4 linked regions of the Saccharomyces cerevisiae S288C genome follow. Changing the gene in region 1 together with any one later gene gives a genetic interaction. Each region holds a gene or a part of one and is shown in the gene's direction. Other genes may lie near its edges.

Region 1 (3,185 bases):
AGACTATTCTTGAATTAGCATTAGCCACTATAAATTTTAACATTTTTCAGAGTCTTTCGTGCGGAGACCGTAAATATTAGCATTGACCTTGTCAATGAAGTAATTGTCTTTGATTTTAACCGTGTTAAAGATTTCGCAAAAGAGAAAGCTTGCTGGCTTGGAGCAGTAACTTTTTTTGATTTTTTTTTACAAGCACACATGCTTTTGCCTTTAGAATATTACGGCTCCTCATGTGGATAGTAAAAACTTGACCGTTGCATCTGTTCTCCTTCGAACAAAGAATAAATCGTCTGAAAAATCACATAGAAAAATAATAGAAAAATAAAAAACATAGTAACATATTTTAAAAGAGACCTTTTATTGAAGAAAATTTGGCGATAAAAATGATTATAACATTGAAATGACGAAGAAAAGGACAGTGCCCGAATTCTCGATTCCAATAAAAGGCGAAAAATTACAATCGCCAGCATGTTTGGTACGGGGCGACTCGTGGCATTTTAAAGTACGCTGGCATGTTTAAAGGTATTAGTGTTCTTGGCGTGGAAAGTGCAGGTGTCTCACTTTTTAGAACGAACAAATTCAAACAATATACAACAATCCGCCGAAAACATTCCAGAAATTAAGATTGTTAAGCACTTTTGCTAAGAAAAAAAAAGGGCTCTCCCCTGTGAATTAACTCAAAGGTAGCGTGTTCTGCCTATGCAAGGTGACCGTTTTTGCAGATATTGTAGTGAGATGCTCTACAAAAGGGGTTTCCTAATCTAATCTTTTACCATATCAAAAATGCCCTAATATTATTATTAAAGAGCTATCAAAGCCTGATTCCTTAGGTATATGACTAGTTCCCGAATTAATGGCATTGATTCATTACTTATTTTATTAGGGGGATGATAAAAATAATGATATCTTTTTCTGCAGCGTCATTTAAGTACTGATTGAGACTGACAGTTGTGATAGAGATATTAAGTAGTAGAAACGGTCCATGAATTGTTCTTTGTTAATATTCTTGCTGAGGGAGGCTTTTCTTTTGGGCTGCTATGCTTTCATTCTACTTAAGCAACGAGATAGGAAGCTTCAAAAGGTGAATGGTGAAATGCTGAAGAAGATTTCGTCATTCCAATCCTCGAGAGTGCGACGTAAGTAGTGACTCTAATGAATTTTCTATGCCTCATAAAGCTTGAGGTATATTTATCCATACGCAAATAATACACGATCTAGGATTATTGTAGTATGTTATTGTTTGACAATATCCTTGGACAAGTTCTAATCACTTATATTTCCCAAACATGATTCGTGTATTTTGGCGTTAGAAAACGACGGCAAGTAAGCTCCCAACATTTACTTGACGAGTTTTTTGTCACTATCATCACGCCCTAGAGCCAAGTTATATTTTTATCGTAAATTCTGTAAATTAACAGTCATTCTAAGCAGGTTGTTTTAATATTTACAGGTAACTTGGCTGACTTCTTTTAAATGTGGCTTCTATGACAAAAAAACTGAAAAAAATGACTAATTAGTAAATTCAGCCTCTTATCATAAAATCAGGGTCTATAGGACGGTACGTGAGAAAAAGATAAGCTTTGGAATATAAAGAGTTACATTTTCATTCTGCAAAAATTCAAATAAAGGAGTATTGAAAAAAAACTTAAAAAGTACAAATAATTAATATAGTTCGAGATATTTAGTTTTCATTGAGTTGGAAAAATGATTGTTCCCACTTATGGAGACGTTTTGGATGCCAGCAACAGAATTAAAGAATATGTAAATAAAACACCGGTTCTCACTTCACGAATGCTTAATGATCGACTTGGAGCACAAATATACTTTAAAGGTGAGAATTTCCAACGAGTGGGAGCGTTCAAGTTTCGTGGAGCAATGAATGCTGTTTCAAAATTAAGTGATGAAAAAAGAAGTAAGGGAGTAATTGCCTTCTCATCAGGAAACCATGCACAGGCTATTGCTCTTAGTGCAAAACTATTAAATGTACCTGCAACAATTGTTATGCCCGAGGATGCGCCCGCCCTTAAAGTTGCTGCTACAGCCGGTTACGGAGCACATATCATAAGGTATAACAGGTATACTGAAGATCGCGAGCAGATTGGGCGTCAACTAGCAGCCGAACATGGTTTTGCATTGATTCCGCCCTACGATCATCCTGATGTTATTGCAGGGCAAGGTACGTCGGCAAAAGAGCTATTAGAAGAGGTTGGACAACTTGATGCATTATTTGTTCCTTTGGGCGGTGGTGGGCTCCTTTCAGGATCTGCACTTGCCGCTAGAAGCCTTTCTCCAGGCTGCAAAATTTTTGGGGTTGAACCTGAAGCTGGTAACGATGGACAACAATCCTTCAGATCGGGTTCCATTGTTCATATCAATACGCCAAAAACTATCGCAGATGGCGCTCAAACACAACACCTCGGTGAGTACACATTTGCCATTATTCGCGAAAATGTCGATGATATTTTAACGGTTAGCGACCAAGAGCTAGTAAAATGCATGCACTTTCTTGCGGAACGCATGAAGGTGGTTGTTGAGCCCACAGCTTGTTTGGGATTTGCAGGTGCACTTCTAAAAAAGGAAGAGCTAGTTGGGAAGAAAGTAGGCATAATACTAAGTGGAGGTAATGTAGACATGAAGAGATATGCTACTTTAATCTCTGGGAAGGAAGATGGCCCAACGATTTAGTGTATACTTTTGAATTTTGAGTTCAGTTTTATAGTGAAGAATTGGAAAGCTTTAGTTGTCTACTTTCACACGGCATATATCATTTGACTTAACATTAATAACATGGTTGAGATTTTGAAGTGAGTTCAGCAAAAAAAGCCTCTAGCTGATTTATACTCTGATAACTCTACATATTTTTCTACTAGTATTATATTTCACTGAACTGACACCCTTATGTGGGAAAATTTTTTGGCAGAATGATAGTGTGTGAGAGGGAAGAATACTGCTTATGTCAAACTAATAATATAACTTCTGACTGTGACTATGAGCATTACTGGTATATTAGTTTCTTTTGCATATTTTGAACTAAAACAGAAGAGCGTTCCTAGGCTTACACCCAGTAAAGACATAGCTTCTAAGTTGAAAAAACATATCTCTACTTCAATTAAAGGTAACTGTCATAATGTCCTATTTTATACGCAGAAAAAATTCTCTTTTCCACACACAATATCGTCTGCTCT
Region 2 (2,555 bases), on another chromosome or scaffold:
GCAGAAGTACTACGACGCGTTTCTACAACTTTTACAGAAAAGGAACAAATCATTACAATGTAAGAGGTCCACTCACCAGCCGGTCCCATCCCCAATGAATAGCCAGACATCAACAAATGCAAAGGTTAATTTGAGCGGAAAGCTTATGAAGTTTCAGCTAAATAGTGTACAAAAGTTCGACGAAGAAAATATACTAAGGATTCTGCAAAATAAAATAGAATTCGAACATTATTTCCAAATTGATAAAGGTAAGAAGCAAAAGGTGCTATTACTTGCCGTATATCAATGCCTCAATGGGCCAACACGTTTGCATAAAGTGCTTAATATTGAGGGAATTATACATAATAATAGTATCAGAACTATACTGGGCAAACAAGTGTCCAGTTCTAAGTGGACAGTGTTTCTGTACGATGTAAAACTAGTTTTATTGGCGCATAGACAAGATGTTCCGAACTTAGAAACTAGCAAGATGATCGTCAGATATGGTGATTTATTTCCCTGTGCATTGTACTTCAAAGATCATACAGCATACTAAGCGCTTTCCAGGGACACCTTCTGTCGCAAAATATCAGAATTTTTCTTGATTAAACGCAGCATATTGAGTATATGAAATTAACGGGACACTGTGTGAAAAATTTGTAGTTGTACTTTTTTGTTATCCCCTTTGGTAGACATATGGACGAATTACTACTAAGATTGGCTTCCATAAGGCCCAAATCCAGATATCACCTACGGTATGTCCTTTTCCTACTTGCAATGACAAATAATTTGTTATTTATCTTGGAACCTATATAAGTTACATCTGATTGCTTTTGTATTTTTTTTGGAGAATATTATTACCCGCGGGGAAGGAAGTAAGGGGAGAATTTTTGAGGTGTATAAAAGAGAGTGGAGGCTTAATCAATCAAAGAATTCTTTCTCGTTTATTTTCAGGGTTTGTGACTAAGAAACGATATTAAAATGTGGAAGGCCGTGATGAATGCTTGGAATGGAACCGAGAGTCAAAGTAAGAATGTTTCAAATATTCAATCTTACAGTTTTGAAGACATGAAAAGAATCGTTGGAAAGCATGATCCTAATGTGGTTTTGGTAGATGTTAGAGAACCATCTGAGTACTCGATTGTTCATATTCCTGCTTCCATCAATGTGCCATATAGATCGCACCCTGACGCATTTGCCTTAGATCCTTTAGAATTTGAGAAACAGATTGGCATCCCAAAACCTGACAGTGCCAAGGAGCTAATATTTTATTGTGCTTCTGGCAAACGCGGGGGAGAAGCTCAAAAAGTCGCCTCCTCACATGGATATTCAAACACCTCACTATATCCTGGCTCTATGAATGATTGGGTTTCTCATGGGGGTGATAAACTTGACTTATAGCCTTGTATACTCTAGGTATGTACCCTGTGTATTTTCGTAAGCTAGTAACGTATTATGCCATTTATGTCACACCGTTCATAATATTTGCCTATTGCATTGGCTGTGATAGCGGCGGCGCAAAGAAATTAGGAAGTATAAAAAAAAAAATACAAAACTTAATCTGAATGGAATAAGATAGCGATAACTCTCAACAAATGGAAGCGAGACAGAAGAAAAAGACCAACGATGTTCAAGCATAGTACAGGTATTCTCTCGAGGACAGTTTCTGCAAGATCGCCTACATTGGTCCTGAGAACATTTACAACGAAGGCTCCAAAGATCTATACTTTTGACCAGGTCAGGAACCTAGTCGAACACCCCAATGATAAAAAACTATTGGTAGATGTAAGGGAACCCAAGGAAGTAAAGGATTACAAGATGCCAACTACAATAAATATTCCGGTGAATAGTGCCCCTGGCGCTCTTGGATTGCCCGAAAAGGAGTTTCACAAAGTTTTCCAATTTGCTAAACCACCTCACGATAAAGAATTGATTTTTCTTTGTGCGAAAGGAGTAAGAGCCAAAACTGCCGAAGAGTTGGCTCGATCTTATGGGTACGAAAACACTGGTATCTATCCTGGTTCTATTACTGAGTGGTTAGCTAAAGGTGGTGCTGACGTTAAGCCCAAAAAATAAGCCAAAAAGAAACAAGTATAATCGATATATCCTGTATATAGACAACCTTTTGTGTATTTCAAATTTTTTGTTGTCACCTCTCCGATTCATTCGATTTTCTCCTTGTGGTTCGCGGATAACCTCTTACTTCCATTAGTTTATGTGTGCGTTTATTTTTTTATCTTTCTCTATATATTACTTTAATGTGCATTCTTTTGCTTAAATACTCTACCTACGATTATGAAATTCAAATTGTTTAAACTCTTTACCCAATCTCTTCTTCCTTTTCCTTTCCATGACCTTTTCACGTTGCTTGGCCTTCATGTGATCAAATTTCCACTTTTGCACCACTTTACGTTTCTCAGACTTTTTCAAATGGTATCTCGTATTATTGTTTTTATTCATATCATTTTCGTATTCCTTGAGAATTTCACGCTCGAGATCTTTGTTTTTCATTGATTGCAATCTCGATTTCATACTTTTCAGTCTTTGTTCCATTTCTTCACGTTCTCCCTGGTCTA
Region 3 (3,392 bases), on another chromosome or scaffold:
ACATGATGTCTTGTTGGAACGAACAGAATAGTTGCTTTTTCAGAAGGAAGTTCATTAGCTGCAGGCATTTTTTGTTTACGGAACTTTTCCTTCTTGAAATTCCTCCTCTTCTTTTGGCGATCATTTTCATCATCTGAGTCACTATCTGCCTCATTGTTACTATTTTGCAGCTTTTGAAGTTGTTCACTAGTGGCTAACGGAATCTTTATGATTTCTTGCAAAATATATAATAGGTTCGCCTCTCTATCTGCGTTTTTACTGGATAGAAAAAGCATTTCTAAGTTCTCTGAAACTTTCGTTTCCGCGTCCAAACGAACCAAAACTGGATTAACCAAACCAGCCTTAACAAAATCAACCAATGAATTAGGTAGAGTAGCAGAAAACAACAAAGTCTGTCTTGTTGTAGGCAAAGATGCAAGTAATTCATTCAACTGTTCTTGAAAACCCATTTCGAACAACCTATCAGCTTCATCGAAAACAACGTACTCAACACTCTTCAAATCGAGGTTCATTTCAACTTTCAGATGTAAAAATCTACCAGGTGTTGCAATAATAACGTCTGGGTTGGTCATCATCATGCCAAATTGTTCTTCCAAGGAATCACCACCAGTCAAGAGGACGCTTCTTAGTTCTGTTCCTCTGGCAAAATCCTTGAAAACGTTGAAAGTCTGCATGGCTAATTCTCTGGAAGGCGATAAGATGACTGCACGGGCGCCAATTTTACCTGAGTGACTTTTCAATTTTTCCACCATTGGCAAGATGAATGCTGCAGTCTTACCAGAACCGGTACGTGCCATACCAACAATATCCCTACTTTGCAAAATTAATGGGATAGTCTTCCTTTGAATAGGAGTGGGTTGGCGAAATCCCTTCCTTTTAATATTGTTCAATACAATTTTGGATAGGCCAAAGCTGGGAAAACTACCTTTTTTATGCTTTGTTTTCTCCAAGTTATTTGTGGAGAAATATTCATTGACATCATCCTCATCATCACCGGTTTGAGTTTTACCAGATGCATTGTTTTCATCATCTGACATTTCTAACATTGGAAATGCTGCTATTTCCTTCTTACTATTCTTTTTTTTCTTGATGTCCTTGTTTTCAGCCTTCTTCTTATTGTTCACTCCTTCTTCTTCATCTGAGCTGTACTCGATCACATCCTGGACATCGTTGGGACCATAATCAGCTTCAACTTCACTATCGGAGTCGTTAGCATCACTCTCACTATCATTTAAGGCAATTTCATTTGCAATATCAAAGGCGATGTCGTCCTCCTCGCTTCCATTGTCGTCTTGATCTTCGAGATCCCTTTTTCTTTTCTGCACGCCTGCCATATTCTAGGTTAAAGAGATATGTGGTGGTAACTTAAATGACAAAAGTACTTTTAGTGACTTTACTTCAAGCAGTAGGAAGTTAGTGAAGTACTAGTAACTCTCTGTAAAGCCATTTTGTATGAATTTCATCTCATCGCTTGAAAATTTTAAGAGCGCCGGGTAGTAACAATTGGTCTCTTATTTTTTTCTTTCAATAGTTGAGGCAAAACATTGCTTTATTGTAAAAGAATGAAAGTTTGGAAACATACAAGAACGTTAAAAATGTGAGCGTATTGATTTGGCAATCGATTCAAGTCAGATAACAATGCTGGCAAGATATTTAAATTTAATAGGACGGAGGAGTGCTTCACCGTACAGACCACAGCGGCTACCGGCAAAGTTTGACAACGTGATAGTGGCAATGTCATCTGGGGTAGATTCCTCTGTGGCGGCAGCACTATTTGCCGGAGAATTTCCAAATACCCGAGGAGTATATATGCAGAACTGGTCTGAATCACAATCTTTGGACGACCCTGGCAAGGAGCCATGCTACGAGAGGGATTGGAGAGATGTGAACCGTGTCGCTAAGCATTTGAACATCCGAGTTGACAAAGTTAATTTTGAGCAAGATTATTGGATAGATGTATTTGAACCAATGTTGAGAGGCTACAGTGAAGGGTCGACACCCAATCCAGATATCGGTTGCAACAAGTTCGTCAAGTTCGGCAAGCTGAGAGAGTGGCTGGATGAGAAGTATGGGACGGGTAACTATTGGCTTGTTACTGGTCATTACGCCCGAGTTATGCAGGAAATGAATGGAAAAGGATTATTCCATTTACTGAGAAGCATTTATAGGCCCAAGGATCAAAGCTATTACCTTTCACAAATCAACTCCACTGTTTTGTCATCTTTGTTGCTACCCATTGGCCATCTAACGAAACCAGAAGTACGAGATTTAGCGAAGTATGCAGGCCTCCCGACTGCAGAAAAGCCTGATTCACAGGGCATATGCTTCGTCAACAATTCCCAGCATGGGAAGTTCAAGAATTTTTTAAAGCACTACCTACCCAGTTCACCGGGTGATATCATTACCGTTGACCCACAATCCGGTGCCAAAACGACATGGGGCAGACACGATGGATTGTGGTCTTACACAATTGGACAGAAAGTGGGCATATCCATGCCACAAGCTGACCCTAATTACCAAGGGACCTGGTTTGTCAGTGAAAAACTAAGGGATACCAACGAAATCTTGATAGTCAGAGGAAGAGATAATCCGGCGCTATACAGTGACACTATGCGAATCGAAAACTTTTCGTCTTTGGGCCCCAGGGAGGACACTATAAACGCTTTCCAAAATACTGGTGCCTTGACATTACAATTCCGGTCCCTGCAGGTCCCAGTCCAAATTAAATCGTGCAAACTGAATCGCTCTGCCGACAACCTCGACATAACAATACACTTAGCCTCAAAACAACGTGCCATAACTCCTGGGCAATCGTGCTGTCTATATATCGACGATAGAGTCCTTGGGAGTGGGCCCATTTCCCATGTTAATAATAATGACACCCATGCATAGTGATGATAATGAATTTAGTATATCACCTTATACGATGCGCCGCAGCAATTAATCTTAGCAACATACTTGCCTAATTGAACCACGGTGGTACGATACAGCCAAGAAGAGCTCATGAAGCGGCTGACCATTTCGAAAAGTAATCTGTATATATGAAGGTCTTTTCCCTTGAATCATGTCTCAATAAGTAGTTCATTTTTTTTTGCCCTCTTGTTTTTCTTTTTCATTTTTTTAAATCACACTTTTTTTTCTTTTCAAGATTTATAAATCTTCCTTCCAGGTTTGAGCCGGACCCATTGTTTAATTAAAGCATAGAAGGCAACGAAGGAGTGGGTTATAGAATTAGCATTGCGGCAAAAACGTCATATTTATTAATATTTATTTGCGAAGGTCATATTCAACGCAATCGCACGTCCTCTTCCGTCTTTTTTCTAGCTTTTGTCCTTTTTTATTTGTCTACATCCCTTTCTCTACGGTATCCAGAAGAAGGTGTGTGTGTGTGT
Region 4 (3,046 bases), on another chromosome or scaffold:
GAGTCAGATTAGAAGCACATGCGGCCGCATCCTTGATAGTATCAAAGGATACCACCGCAACAGTTTCAGCTTTGGGCTTGACATGACACTTGACAGTAGCTTCAGTAACAATACCTAAGGTACCTTCACTTCCCACAAATAAACCATTTAAGTTATAGCCAGCGCTCGACTTTCTGGGTCTTTTCTTCGTCTTGACAATGGTCCCGTCCGGCAACACTATAGTCATGTTTATAATATTCTCCTTCATGGTACCGTAACGGTAGGCGTTGGTTCCTGAACAAGAATTAGCAATGCAACCACCAATCTGTGCACCTGGACCAGGGTCACAGCCAAACATCAAACCGTGGTCGCTCAAATAGTCATTCAAATCCTCCCAGGGTAGACCGGCCTGCACGGTGATGTCCAGGTCCAGCTTGTCAAATTTTACGACGTTATTCATAAACTTGGACAGGTCTACGGTTATGGTATCTCCAATTCTTGTAGGCAGGAAGTGCCCCTCCAAGGACGTTCCGCCCGAGAAGGGTACAACTGGCATGTTGTTATCGTGACATATTTTCAAAATTTTGGAAACTTCTTCGGTAGTATGAGGGAATAATATAATCCTAGGTCTTTGCTCGGGAGAGGGGTGATGCGTGTTGAAGTAGGTATCTGAATGGGCGTCCAAATCGGATTTCGCATCAGAGTAGTTTTCAGGCTTGTTTCCCAGCACCTGCTTCAGGTCCTCAACAACCTTATCGATCTTAACCGGGTCGTGCAAATAGTCTGGTGAGTCCAATGAGGACAGCTTTAACGTAGAATTTACTGGGTCGATCTTTTTGACCATTTCCAGCTTCTCTATCAAATCTTCCTTAGTCTCCCTAGAATAGAGGTTCTTAGCGAACAAATAACCGAATAGAGTAGCTGAAGAGGCGATGACAGAGTATTTTAACCACTGGCTGCTGCTGTCGGTGCTGCCTGTGCCTGTTGAGGCGTATCTGTAGCATGATCTTCTCACCAGCCTTCCTCTAGGTTGTGCAATAGGCTTTATTAGCCTTGTGCAAGTACGCTTCCACAACATTGTTCTTGCTTTTGTTTCCAGCTGGATCGGAATGATGTACAATATTTAAATTGCACTATAACACGGAAGCTCAAGAAATCTTTCCAGCCCACACACACACACACATATATATATACATATGTAGTTCCGAGTGCAAAATCGCTAAGCGGTTATTACTGCACCAGTTGGGGCCAACTACGCTGGATCGACGTGGGATTGGCAGGGAAGAACTTCGAGGGAGGTGGTCGGAGAAGAGAGTGGGATGCGGGCGTGGGGGTCTGCTGTTACTTTTATCGGCACAACGGACCTGGGTTGACAAGAGCTTGAAGGCTCCAAGAGACAGCGACCGTCGGCGCCGAATGACGAAACTATGCTGTGTGTGACCAGGCGAACAACATTGAGAGAGTTGAGGAGCCGTACGGACAGCTGTTTGTAGTGATATTTCCTTGTTGTAACCAGACGAGTTCCTTTATAACGTTTTGAAATGTTTCATAGGGTTACCCTGACAGAGCGGTGGCTTATGTCAAAAAGGCTGACGCTGATACTAATGACGGTCAATGGAAGCATATGAGCAAAAGCAGCAGCAGCGTTAGCAGCAGCAGTAGCGTAAGACCAAGTTAGTATGGCTACGTTCAACCCACAAAACGAGATGGAGAACCAGGCACGTGTACAAGAGTACAAGGTCTCCACTGGCAGAGGCGGAGCTGGCAACATCCATAAATCTATGTCCAAGCCGTCTCCCGTACTTCTTCCATTGAAATCCAATTCAAAGACAGTAGCAAACAACAATAATAACGGTAGCAACCAGGAAAAGGTTCCTCGTTTTGCAATTGGTAGAGGTGGTGCCGGTAATATCTTTCATGATCCGCACCTGACGAGATCCGCCCAACAACTGGACTCTAACGACAATATCAACTATAACGACGTGATCAATGACATCGACGATTATATTTCCCCTATAACTTCGGATATGGTGGATGAAGGTGGGTCAAACCCGGTGACCAACACCAGGTCTCGTATCAGCGCTACAAGGAGCCATCAGTCTTTGCATGCCACCACTTCGTCTCCGAACAACAACGCCCCAATTGTCGTTGGTAGAGGTGGGGCAGGAAACATTTTCTTCAACAAAAAAAAGGTGGCCAGCAATGGTGGAAATGAAGAGGATGAGATACGAGGCGGCAATATCGAGGATGAGGATACTATCAATGCAAACGAGGACAACCTGTTTGTGGTGACTTCCAATGGCAATGCTTTGGCGGCAATCAAGTCCACGTCCAAGAAGCCTAAAAATAAGCTCAAGGGCAAAAGCGCACCGGAAAAATTTGCTATTGGAAGAGGTGGCGCTGGAAACATAATTTCTCCAAAGTCAAGCAGGAACACTATCAACCATAACTTAAACGATGATGATGAAGATAAGTTTAATTTGAAAGATGACAATGGTAAAGAGAAGAAGAAGAAGAAGAAGAAGAAATCAGGGTTTTTCAGTTCTTTGAAAACTATGTTTAATTGAAATAACATTCATCAGCAAAATTAATAAACTAAATAAAATAAATAAATAAATAAATAAATAAATAAATAAATAAATAAATAAATAAATAATATACGATCATAAAATAAATAATAACTCAAGCTTTTTAGACTTGACTAGCTAATTCTTTCAATAGTTTGTAATCACGTTGAACGATACCACCATTACTTGGTAGATACGTAGTGCCGTCCATTAGGAACTTATCGACAGAGGCAGCACATTTTCTACCTTCTTGGATGGCCCAGACAATCAAAGATTGCCCTCTTCTACAGTCACCACATGCAAAAGTCTTTCCTCCATCAATAGAGTATGAGGAGTCGTCGAGTGTGGCAATCGTACCACGTCTTGTCTTCTTAACTTCGTTATCGTTGCCATTGATCAATTCAGGACCCACGAAACCCATAGACAACAAAATGATATCGGCTTCAAAGATCTCTTCACTGTTGGGAATTTCTACCATTTGCCATACGCCACTTTGTGAC

Evidence for each region.
Region 2: mutations in SRY1 (region 1) and RDL2 together harm fitness more than expected from each alone (negative genetic interaction), as found in Saccharomyces cerevisiae (2 studies listed by BioGRID).
Region 3: mutations in SRY1 (region 1) and SLM3 together harm fitness less than expected from each alone (positive genetic interaction), as found in Saccharomyces cerevisiae (2 studies listed by BioGRID).
Region 4: mutations in SRY1 (region 1) and PAR32 together harm fitness more than expected from each alone (negative genetic interaction), as found in Saccharomyces cerevisiae (2 studies listed by BioGRID).

Annotation. Positions count from the first base shown.
Region 1 is NC_001143.9:16,859-20,043, reverse strand, and holds SRY1 (threo-3-hydroxy-L-aspartate ammonia-lyase SRY1), read left to right. Parts: upstream 1-1,704; coding exon 1,705-2,685; downstream 2,686-3,185. UniProt on the Saccharomyces cerevisiae protein: Catalyzes the deamination of L-threo-3-hydroxyaspartate to oxaloacetate and ammonia. Shows a high specificity towards L-threo-3-hydroxyaspartate as other 3-hydroxyaminoacids, i.e.
Region 2 is NC_001147.6:848,675-851,229, forward strand, and holds RDL2 (thiosulfate sulfurtransferase RDL2), read left to right. Parts: upstream 1-1,605; coding exon 1,606-2,055; downstream 2,056-2,555. Other genes in the region: HUA2 (Hua2p), read left to right, coding at 1-535; thiosulfate sulfurtransferase RDL1, read left to right, coding at 961-1,380; rRNA-processing protein RRP36, read right to left, coding at 2,263-2,555. UniProt on the Saccharomyces cerevisiae protein: Thiosulfate sulfurtransferase which catalyzes the transfer of sulfane sulfur from thiosulfate to cyanide.
Region 3 is NC_001136.10:392,159-395,550, reverse strand, and holds SLM3 (tRNA-5-taurinomethyluridine 2-sulfurtransferase), read left to right. Parts: upstream 1-1,638; coding exon 1,639-2,892; downstream 2,893-3,392. Other genes in the region: ATP-dependent RNA helicase DBP10, read right to left, coding at 1-1,334. UniProt on the Saccharomyces cerevisiae protein: Catalyzes the 2-thiolation of uridine at the wobble position (U34) of mitochondrial tRNA(Lys), tRNA(Glu) and tRNA(Gln).
Region 4 is NC_001136.10:146,533-149,578, forward strand, and holds PAR32 (Par32p), read left to right. Parts: upstream 1-1,658; coding exon 1,659-2,546; downstream 2,547-3,046. Other genes in the region: DLD1 (D-lactate dehydrogenase), read right to left, coding at 1-1,057; GLT1 (glutamate synthase (NADH)), read right to left, coding at 2,671-3,046. UniProt on the Saccharomyces cerevisiae protein: Involved in resistance to cisplatin.